Linked DNA regions of Schizosaccharomyces pombe. The protein of the gene in region 1 purifies or fractionates together with the protein of each later gene. This does not show direct contact. Each region holds a gene or a part of one and is shown in the gene's direction. Other genes may lie near its edges.

Evidence for each region.
Region 2: the proteins of lsm4 (region 1) and pof8 purify together in Schizosaccharomyces pombe (affinity purification with western blotting, with the first as the bait; one study listed by BioGRID). This does not show direct contact.

The regions. Positions count from the first base shown.
Region 1 is NC_003423.3:3,084,597-3,090,504, reverse strand, and holds lsm4 (U6 snRNP-associated protein Lsm4), read left to right. Parts: upstream 1-1,588; 5' UTR 1,589-1,611; coding exon 1,612-1,614; exon of another isoform or gene 1,615-1,652; coding exon 1,653-1,844; exon of another isoform or gene 1,845-1,909; coding exon 1,910-2,080; 3' UTR 2,081-2,481; coding exon of another isoform or gene 2,482-4,377; 3' UTR 4,378-4,452; downstream 4,453-5,908. Other genes in the region: SPOM_SPBC30D10.05C (sepiapterin reductase), read right to left, coding at 1-508; chaperone protein Mzm1, read right to left, coding at 871-1,112, 1,172-1,232; bpl1 (biotin-protein ligase), read right to left, coding at 2,482-4,377; mgm101 (DNA repair protein), read left to right, coding at 5,159-5,908.
Region 2 is NC_003424.3:3,621,246-3,625,871, forward strand, and holds pof8 (LARP7 family RNA-binding protein Pof8/Lar7), read left to right. Parts: upstream 1-2,477; 5' UTR 2,478-2,623; coding exon 2,624-3,832; 3' UTR 3,833-4,126; downstream 4,127-4,626. Other genes in the region: cleavage and polyadenylation specificity factor complex endoribonuclease subunit Ysh1, read right to left, coding at 1-225, 269-815, 860-1,760, 1,802-1,930, 2,064-2,161, 2,211-2,297, 2,352-2,399; protein Rqc1, read left to right, coding at 4,329-4,626. UniProt on the Schizosaccharomyces pombe protein: RNA-binding protein required for assembly of the holoenzyme telomerase ribonucleoprotein (RNP) complex. Specifically binds telomerase RNA ter1 and promotes assembly of ter1 with catalytic subunit trt1.

The DNA.
Region 1 (5,908 bases):
CAGGCTCCTCGCTGCCAAGGTTCATGACTAGCATGTTGATGGCGGCCTTTGAGCAACAATATGCAGCCCACGCGGGAAAAACACGAACAGCAGCGCCAGAGGATACAATCACAATAGTACCCTTGGTTTTACGCAAATGCGGGATTGCATACTTCACTGTTTCAACCACACTGAAAAAGTTGATATCAAACAACTTACGCCATTCATTGATATCTGCATCAGCGATTTTGGCTATAGGTTCAAGGACACCTGCATTTAGAATAACCGAGTCCAATTTTCCAAACTTTTTAATAGCAGTTTCGATACTAGCTTTTCCAACCTCCGTAACGTCACCCTTCACGTGAACAAATGAGTCAGGATTTTGAATAAGCAAAGTTTCTAGTTCTGGGGTCAAGGACCTACTAACAGCAATAACCTTGGCCTTCTTCTGTAGAGCTTCTGCAGTAGCCAATCCAATACCCTTAGAGGATCCAGTCAACAAAATAACTTTTTCAGCGGTTTCGGCCATAATGCTTTTATAGAAATTTATAGAAATGTAGGGTGTGAATTACTTTAGTGTAAAGCCAGATTGTGGAACTGAGGAAATATGTTAGCTATGCTATGATTTATATCATGATGCCAAGATAACGAGGTTCCGTATAATCACAATAAAGTAACCGATATAATCTTAATTTTGCTTATTTATTCACGAAAGGAATTGTTATATGGTATTAAAAAACGAAAGTAATGAAGTGCAAATACAAAACAAGCTTGCCATTCCCTTTATTTTTGTTAATGGTCAAACATTACTAAAACAGAAAAAATAAATATGAGTATGAAAACAACATACTTTATTGTATTAATAGAGCTTGATGCAGTAATTTCAAAAAATTACCGAGGAAACTTTTTTTCAGTAAATTGTCTGTTTGTATTAATTTCAGTTGTCTTTCGAATTTTCAAAGAATAGGTATCGTTGGATTGCTTTTCAGCTTGAACGACGTTCCTTCTAAGGATTTCCGCAACAGCATTACCATTTTGGATTTCTTTTTTTGCTTCTTCTGGAGAACAGCACCGATGATTGTGAAAACCAGTTCTGATTTTATCCCTTGCAGCTGCGAGAATCATTGGGTCCCCTAAGTATCATCTGTGAATAAAAAAAAACATACTTGTTGATAGAGGTTAACCCACTTACCTTCAAAAACCGAATTGGATGCTCGCCAAAGATTACGAAAGCATTGTTTAGCAGCTGACATTACTAACGTTCTAAATTCTTTAAAAAATATTTTTAAAAACAAGAAAAAACGGTCAAAAGAACTAGAATTGGTACTGAGGGACTTTAGAAAAGGGATCGATATGTTAATGATATAATTCTTATTCTCTTGTTTAAAGTCAACTCAGGAAAAACTCTGACAAGAGAAAAAAAGAAGATACTTCAACCAAAATTATTGTTATGGCGATTACACGTTATTTATAAAGAAATGTCAGCAATGCACATGGTTTTTAGTGACTCTCACAATCGTGAACTCTGCGACTTATAACATTACAGGTTACAATGTTACTTCTTCTAATCCTCTAAAACAGAATGATAACCTACTACTTGGAAAGACCTAAGTTACCCATATACTGCAAAAAATGGTAAATTCTGTTTATTAATTCACGCTAACATCCTATAGCTTCCATTAACATTATTGAATGCAACTCAAGGTCGTCCCATACTTGTTGAGTTAAAAAACGGTGAAACGTTTAATGGTCATTTAGAGAATTGTGATAATTACATGAACCTCACACTGCGCGAAGTCATTCGTACTATGCCTGATGGTGATAAATTTTTCCGTCTTCCTGAGTGCTATATTCGTGGAAATAATGTATGTTGTACCATCCTTTTCTTTGCGGTCGAACATATTAATGCCAGCTGTTACTAACACAACAGATCAAATACCTGCGTATTCAAGATGAGGTGCTTAGTCAAGTAGCTAAACAACAAGCGCAGCAAAGAGAAAATCGCGGATCGCGATTTCGCGGACGTGGTCAACGCGGTCGTGGAAACTATGGTCACACAGCACCAAACCGTCGTGGCCGTGGTAGAGGTGGACACATGTAAATATCCCTGTAATTTTAAAAAGTTTTTATGGTCTCTCTTTAATGAGTGTATGATGCCCGTCCATTCATTTCCCTTCTATTTCCCCCTCTTCTCTAGAGCTCTAAGCCTTGTATAGGGTTTTACACTAATCCACAATTCTAATTTTGGTTTATGATATTTTCAAAGTAGCTTGTCTTAACATTGTATAAAGTCGGTTTGTTGGATTTAAAATCATGCTTGCTCATTTTAAGAAGGTTTAGCTAGTATAGAAAGGGACAGCCCTAATGGAAGCTGCAATATGCATATCTAATTATTCACCTTTTTAATTTGCCTAGGATTCCGGTACGAGTATCTATGATCAAAACACTACTGATTCCAATTTAACGTAAAGCGCCAGAAAATTACACAGTCAATAGTCATAACTAAGTTTTTCTTGTTATTAAATTTCTCATCAGATCAAAGCTGTTGCCGTCAGGTTGCAAGTGAACTACTTTCGTTGTAGGCTCATTGTTTTCGTTTAACAGTTGAGCTAACAGAAATCCGAAATCAGAGGTAATCCCTTGAATTATTGCTTTACCGCCGCTTGCTAAATTGACCGTTTGGTTGCTATGTAACCAATATTGGTAATATTCTGGTAAAATAAGAGAAAAACCCTCTTCCAAAAGTAACCTATGATAACGATCAAACTGATTGAGTACACTGGCAAGCAGCTTTTCAAAGGAAAACTTCTCTAGCCGCGGATTATCAGAGTTTTTGTTCCATTCATCTACCAGAGTATTCAAAGAAACAGTAGGACCCAAGTTACTGACATTTATTCCACAGCCAACAACCAAATGTAAGACATTTTTTCGGTAATTAGAAGTAACTATGATTCCAGAAAGCTTCATATACTGCTTACCTTGAAAATTTATTCCACCTTTATCAACACGCACATAAACATCGTTAGGCCACTTGATAAATGCAGGAATATTTTCATAGCCTGGAGCATACTCACGAATACCACGGACAACTGCTAAGGCCATCAAATACTGAAAAAGCGCTATAGGTGTAGTAGAGAAATTTTTAGCATCCACGTTGATGATGAACGAAAACGCGAGCGTTCCATAGGGAGAGACCCACATGTTTTGACCTCGGCCTCGACCAGCAGTCTGGTAATTACCCAACACGGTAAAACCAGTATTCGTTGAATCCAAAAATCTATAGTTTTTGTCTAGTAGAGTTTGAGTTGACCGGATTACTGGTGCAACTATAATTGGTAAACCGAAACGACATCCGTTAATTAACTTTGCATAAAGCTCTAAATCAAAACTAGGCTTCGCTTTTTTGCATATTTTTTCTTCGTCACCATACCATATTTTTACAATTTCATTATCAGAATCTGACAAATCGGCGGAAATATCCAAATTAGCAAGTTGATGCTCCGGGATTTCAGAACTTATGTCGGAAAACTGGAAGGTATACAGAGTGTCCTCATCTTGATTTTTTACCTTATTTGTAAGAGCTTTTTCAATAAATCTTTTAGTCTCCACATTATTCGGGAACAAGTACTGATCAGTTAATGTAGGCTGACCACATTTAGATGTATCCTTAGGAACCTTCAACCCAAGGAGTTTGAGAATATAGGATAACAATTCTAATCGTGTTTTCTCATCTCTTTTATCTAAAATGGGGCTTCCCTCTGCTGAAAACTCAGGATGAATACCTGTAAGTACAACGTTTCCCTTTCCTACTTTAACATAAATTATAGCTGCTGATTTCTCAAAATCTGTCTCTTGATAGCGAGCAACCACCTTAACATTAGAATAGTTTTCTGTCTCCAAAAAAGACCCACCTCCATTAAAATATATGTGGGTATGAACGGGGGATGATTGCATGCCATCAACAATTATAGATGCCCGTCGCGCCCCATCCTCGCTATCATAGGTAAATCCAGGAAAGGTAGGACCAGCACAAGTTCCTGGAAAAAATTGAAGTTTCCTTTTCCCTACAACGTTCAAATCAGAGTCTGGCATTCGAAAATCAACCACCGCAGAACCAAAATATCCTCCTGCACATAAACCCAGATAAGCTCCCCCTCGCTTGACAAAATCAGTAATTTTCCGGTAAATTGTTTCATTAAAAGAAGAACAGTAACCCATATCTCTTCCGCCGGGCATAACTAACAAAGCTGTGCTAGCAGGCCAAGGTTCTTTTTCTAAAGTAGAGGCGTCGACAAATCTCATTGCATATAGCGGAACGACAAATGGTAAAAGGGATTGAAATGTTCTCAGTAGGCATATTTTGGAGGCCCCATTGCCATTGTATATTAAAACATTCATTGTTTCAGTTTGCCTTTGTAATGCTAAAAAATAGTTTGTTCTAATCCAAAGAGGTACTTAAAAAAATTGTAAACCAATCTGTAGAGTAGTATAAGTAAAAATCTCAAGTAAGTAGTAAGCAGTCAGGTAGTTTGGTTCAAATATACAAGTTGGCAAATAGCTAAATAAATGCGATGATAATTTTCCAATCATGTTTGCTCGCTTCTTAAACACCTTAAACCCAACACAACTGTCAACAATATTTACCGCAGTGGAAAAATACACATTAAAGCGCGCTTCATTCGAAGGCAATATACATATACTGGTAAGTTAAATGTGTTTTTTATTTTTAAAGAGAATCGCGTGTCAACTACGCGTTCATAAACTATCATAATGATCGATGACTACATTGTTTTTCCTTTTAAAAGCTATATTGTATATAGCTTAATTTACCGCATATGACTATGGAAATAAAGAATATCAAAAATATTGTAAAATGCTATAGTTATACTCAAATACGTAAAAAAAAACGAAGAACGTATAGTTAAGTTATGGAAATGTTTTTTTTTAATTGCGGGACCTCCTACCGCTTTATTCTGTAAAGGTTTGGAGAATAATCTTGAAGCTGGAGAGCATATAAATAAGGACAATTAACGATTCACAACATAGCGTAATTATTGCTACACTTAATAAATACATAAATATACGACTGTCAAGATTATTCGCAAAAGGATTTAACAAGGTTGTAAAATGGTGGTATCCTAAATCAGATACTTTTCTCATATCATACGTATTTTTACTAATGCAAACAATGCTTGGAAAACCAGCTTTGCAGTATTTTGGCAAGTTGTCAAGATATCTATATAAAAATGGTGAGCCCATAAATATTTGGGTATATAGTAGAAACTCAAGTTTTTCTGTAATTCCTAAGAACGGTTTGTTGTCGCCTAAAATTACTCAACGTTTTTACCAAAACAGTTCAATTCAATATCAAAAAGACAAAAATATTTACGAGCCAAAAGAAAATTTAGAGGAAAAAGAGCTTTCTGAAGGGTTTCTTGACGAATCAAGGCTTGAAATTCCAGAAGCAGGCCATAATTGGGAAAAATCCTTTTTCGGGTTATCTTCTCAACCGTTTAGCAAAGAAATATGTGATCTATTAACAGCACCGCTCGAGGTCGACGATATAGAGATAAAACCGGACGGTATTCTATACTTACCCGAAATTAAATATCGTCGTATATTAAATAAAGCATTTGGTCCAGGTGGTTGGGGTTTAGCTCCTCGTGGAAATACCAACGTTACTAGCAAATCTGTTTCAAGGGAGTATGCGCTCGTTTGTCATGGGCGACTTGTATCTGTTGCACGTGGTGAGCAAACTTATTTCGATCCGGAAGGAATTGCTACTGCATCTGAGGGATGCAAGTCTAACGCATTGATGAGGTGTTGCAAGGACTTGGGTGTAGCAAGTGAATTATGGGATCCAAGATATATTCGAGTATTTAAGAGAGAAAACTGTGTGGAAGTTTTTGTTGAAAACGTTCTTACAAAA
Region 2 (4,626 bases), on another chromosome or scaffold:
TAGATCGTAACGCTTCATTTGAACATTCAACTTTCATAGTCGAAAAATCAATAGACGCTTCATATTTTTCAAATTTGATTTCAACCCCCTTTTCCGTTTTAGTCATACTTTCGCCAAATTGGTTGTCCAAAAACATCATCAGCTTTTTAATACGATCTTCCTCCTTTGATACTTTTGGAGGCTTATCTAAATGCGAATGCAAATGGTTACATTTATGGCTCGTCACTATTAATGGTTAGAAATTGTTCCACATTAAACGCAGACTTACACTTGACAGAAGCAGGACTGCTTTCAATGCCTAGTAGAATAGTAATTACTGAATCAGCTATTGTATCATTCATAATGTTGCCAACCCATTCAAGAGCAAGCTTATGTTCTTGGATTAAAGTCAAAGTAATGGCGTCCATTACTGTATATTGAGGTTGTCCTGCCTTTGTTTTTGACTGTTTGACATATCCAAACATTTGTTTTAAATGGAAATTTGCAAGCTCCATACTCGAAAAAAATGGAATGACTTGTTTTTGGGTTAAAACGGTGGTAGTAAGGTCACTGAAATCTCGAAGATCTTCAGCTGACATCAATTTATAATTGGCATCCTTTTGAATTAAAATTCCACTCATAATGTCGCCTTCTTTTGGTTTATGAACAGCGACCTTTCCCAAAGCTCTCACTAACCGTTCCCCTTTGAAAGGAAGATATAACGGTACGCAATTTCGAGGGGTATATACTTTGACATCGACTTTTCTATTGTGAAATTTGCTGGCTAGAGCACTTTTTAATCGACCCATATTTGTTTGCTCACCATGCACCAAAATCTATAATTAGTTAATTTTAACGTTACATTAGTAACTAAACATACAATGTGATCGGCATTTACCAGGTCAATGAATTCACTGTTTTGAAGATAATCAACATGAGCCGCAAAAGAAAGTTCCTCCACTGCCATTCTTCTAGGAATCTTTTGGCCTGAAAGTGACACAATTTCAATAGGCTCATTTGTAATTTGCTTTGCCATTGTCCCTTCAACAGAATAACCAGTAAGAAGTAACGTATTTCGAGGGTCAGGAGCCCATCTTTCTAAGAGGGTTCTTGAAACACCATTTTGTAGCATACCAGGACTTGCCAATATTACAGAAGGGCCAATATCATCGAATTTTTCTAAATTTCTTAGACTTTTGACAAAACGAAAGATGAACGGATTTCGTTCGGCAAAAATTTTTCGAATATTATCATTCATCATGTTAACATAAGTTTGAAAAATGGCCATACACTTTCTCGCTAGCGATGATGCATAATAGATAGGGACTGAGCGAAGATCGAGATGATTATTCCAATATTCATCGAGAATGAGTAATAACTCCTGAGCTCTTCCAAGAGCAAAGACAGGCATCAAAACTCTCCCTCCATTGCGAATAGTGGAATGAATAATATTTAACAGTCTAGCCTCCTTCTCCAGTCTTGGTTGGTGAGATGCTGTACCATACGTGGATTCTGTGATCAGCACATCTGGTCTTTTAGGAGGAACCTCAGCGACATGCAAATGGCGATCTTCTTCTCGTGAGTAGTCGCCTGTAAATAAAATATTGACTCCAGCCATTTCCACAAAATACATACAGGCACCCAAAACATGGCCCGCATGATAGGGTGTAAACTTTATACCCTCAACTTCTATAGTTGAATGGTAGTCAACAGCCTCGATTCTATCAAAAGCGGCTAACAAATCTTTCTCATCGTAAAGCTGATCTTCCATGCCTACATTACTGCGAGTTGTTAATGAATACTCAGAGCTAAGAATACATACCTCACTTTCACGTAGTCAGATAAAAGCCACTTGCAAACTGCCTTTGTAGGATGAGTCATGAAGACACGACCTCTAAAGTTCGTCTTTTGCATAACATAGGGAAGCGAGGCTACATGATCCAAATGGAAGCTTGCTTAAGTTAGAAATACTTTTCAAAAAAAAATGAATCAATGCCTAAGGGACCATAATAGTAATTGGTACAAGAAGTACTCTAATCTAATAACCTATGGTCGTCTCAAGTAGTGGTACAAAAGGGACTTACTGGCTAATTAAAAGTACATCTACAGTGCTCAAATCAAACTCATCAAAAAAAGGAAGAGCTGAAAGCCCAGTATACGCAGGGTGAACACCGGCATCGAGCTAGCAAAAATTAGCATTCACAATCATAACAAAATAAAAATTAAAATACCATTACTGTTTTCCCTTTGTATTGAATAACATGGCAACTGCGACCAACTTCATTTCCGGCTCCCAAGTTAATAAACTCCAGTAAATCCTGACATTGGTTAGAAAGTAGGCCCTTATAAAAAATCGTAAATTCAAGGCTTACGGATGGGTCTACAGGTGCATCTTCATCAAATTCCTTTCTTTTGGACATCTTTCCAAGGGCTTTTGTCTAAAAACCACAATTGGAAAGACAAGGTCGTGGGTGCTGGGCAAGCGCGAGTTATTCTTCACCTACGCATTCAACATAAATTGGGAGAAAGCAGAACAAAAATTTACAACCCTTTTTTTTTTAATTAAGAGCACCTAATTCTATTTATTATTAATGACTTCACTTTAATTGATACTAGAAAACCGTACTTTAAGGAGCGAAGTAAAATGTTTGTGCCAAGGCAACTGAATGTTCGCAAAATTAAAGCATTTACAGGGAAGGAAAATAATTCTATTGCAGATGGAAATAACAACAAATTGAAAGATGAGCATTACAAACATAATGAAGCCAGCAAAGAACCAAGTCATTCCATAAGCGGAGGACTCATGTTAAATCAACAAGATAGACAGCTTATTGAACCGTTAAATCCTGACTTTTTATCAGCCGTTGATTCTATATTAGAAATTTATTTTCACCGAGAAAGGCAAAAAGAAAAAGTGCACTTGGCCTTTTTAATCCAGCAAGATGATTTCTGGAAAGGAATCCGCCCGAATCCAACGCAAAATAACTTGAAGTATGCTTTATCTTATGTTACTAATGCGCTGTTTCATTTCGATAATTCCTCACACATGGTTATTAGAAATGAGAATATTGTTCTTCCTCTTGACATACCACTGTATGATAGAATTATTTACGTTGAACCAGTTCCGGCTACTCTGTCTAATAAAAGTTTACTTTTGGCTGGGAAACTTCGCAAATACCTCAAAGAGTTCCTTCCCTATGTTGATGCTATCGGTACTCCTGAAGGTTATGCTTTTGTAATTTTGTACAAAAAGGTTGATCAATCAGCACTTAGCAAGTTGCCTGTCCCTCCTGGATGGGTACTGTTGACTCGTAAAGAATGGACAAATCGTGAAGAAAAATATTTTGAAAATCAACTCCATTTAGTAAAAGCGTCATCTTCAGACGTTTCAAATTCATCCAATTCCTTTCCTGAAAATCGTTATCCCAAACTTACTAAAGTAGAAAAACAAATGACCAAGTCTGTATCCAAAACCTCACAAACTGATAAAGATGAAGATAATTTGGATTTTACCAAGAATCTTTTGACCCGTATCAAGAACCTCCATCCTTTAACTAATAAATCTACTATTCACAGCCTCTTGAGTTATGTTTTTTCGCGGCAAACTCAGAATATTGCATGTGAGCCCATGTATATAGACTATAGGAAGGACGAAACAGAGGCGATAATACGTTGGAAAACACCGCTTCATGCTGAGACGTGTATCAACGCGTTTCGTACACAAGAAAGGAAACAAAACAGTCATGATGATATTCGGGCACATAGGAAAAAGGGATCTAGCCGTCCATTCCTGATTGCTGAGCTAATTACCGGAGAAGAAGAAAAGAATTATTGGCGTATGTTAAAAAAGTAATATGTTTTCCTTTCTCTGGTAATACTAATTTGATTTATTTACTACTTTATAATATATTCTGGTAATATAGGCATACAAAAAGGTAACACGGTCGTTATTCTCACTTTAATACTAAATTTGCATTAACAGTTTTTTGTATTAATAACCCCTCTAATTTTCATTTGGCTGATAACCTATTGCGATCAGCAAAAATTCCAATAAACCATGAACCACAAATATGTAAAAACGGTTTACCACCCCACAATTGCAAAATTCTATTACTTAGATTTTAATTACATATTCTGTACATCATTGTTGCTCCCGGCTTGTATTTTCCTTAACGCCTTTTAACTACGAAACGTAATATTCTTCACTGCTAACAGTCTTAAAATGAAATATTTTCTGTATGTTATATATTAATTTAGCATACCGAAAAGTTCTTGAAATTGAGGTGTGTTTTCATAGGTCTGAGTTAAATTCTTACATCTGCCATTCTAGTCTACCACAAACCATTCTCATGTCTTCACGAGCTTTACGGAAACTTCAGCGTCAAAGACAAACCGAGCTATTGGAAGAAGCTTTAGACAGTGAATCTGATGAGGATGACGAGTTTTCTTCAACTTCCGGGAAAAAAGTAGTAAACGTGTTCGAAATTCTCGAAAAAGAAAATAATGCTATTAACTCAGAGGCAGAAAAAAGTGTTTCTGAGGAAGAGCAGGATGAACCATTAGTAGAAGGCGAGTCTCCAATTGTCTCTACAAATAAGAAAGCAAAAAATAAAAAGAAAAAGAAAAAGCAGCAGAAGAAGAAGAAAG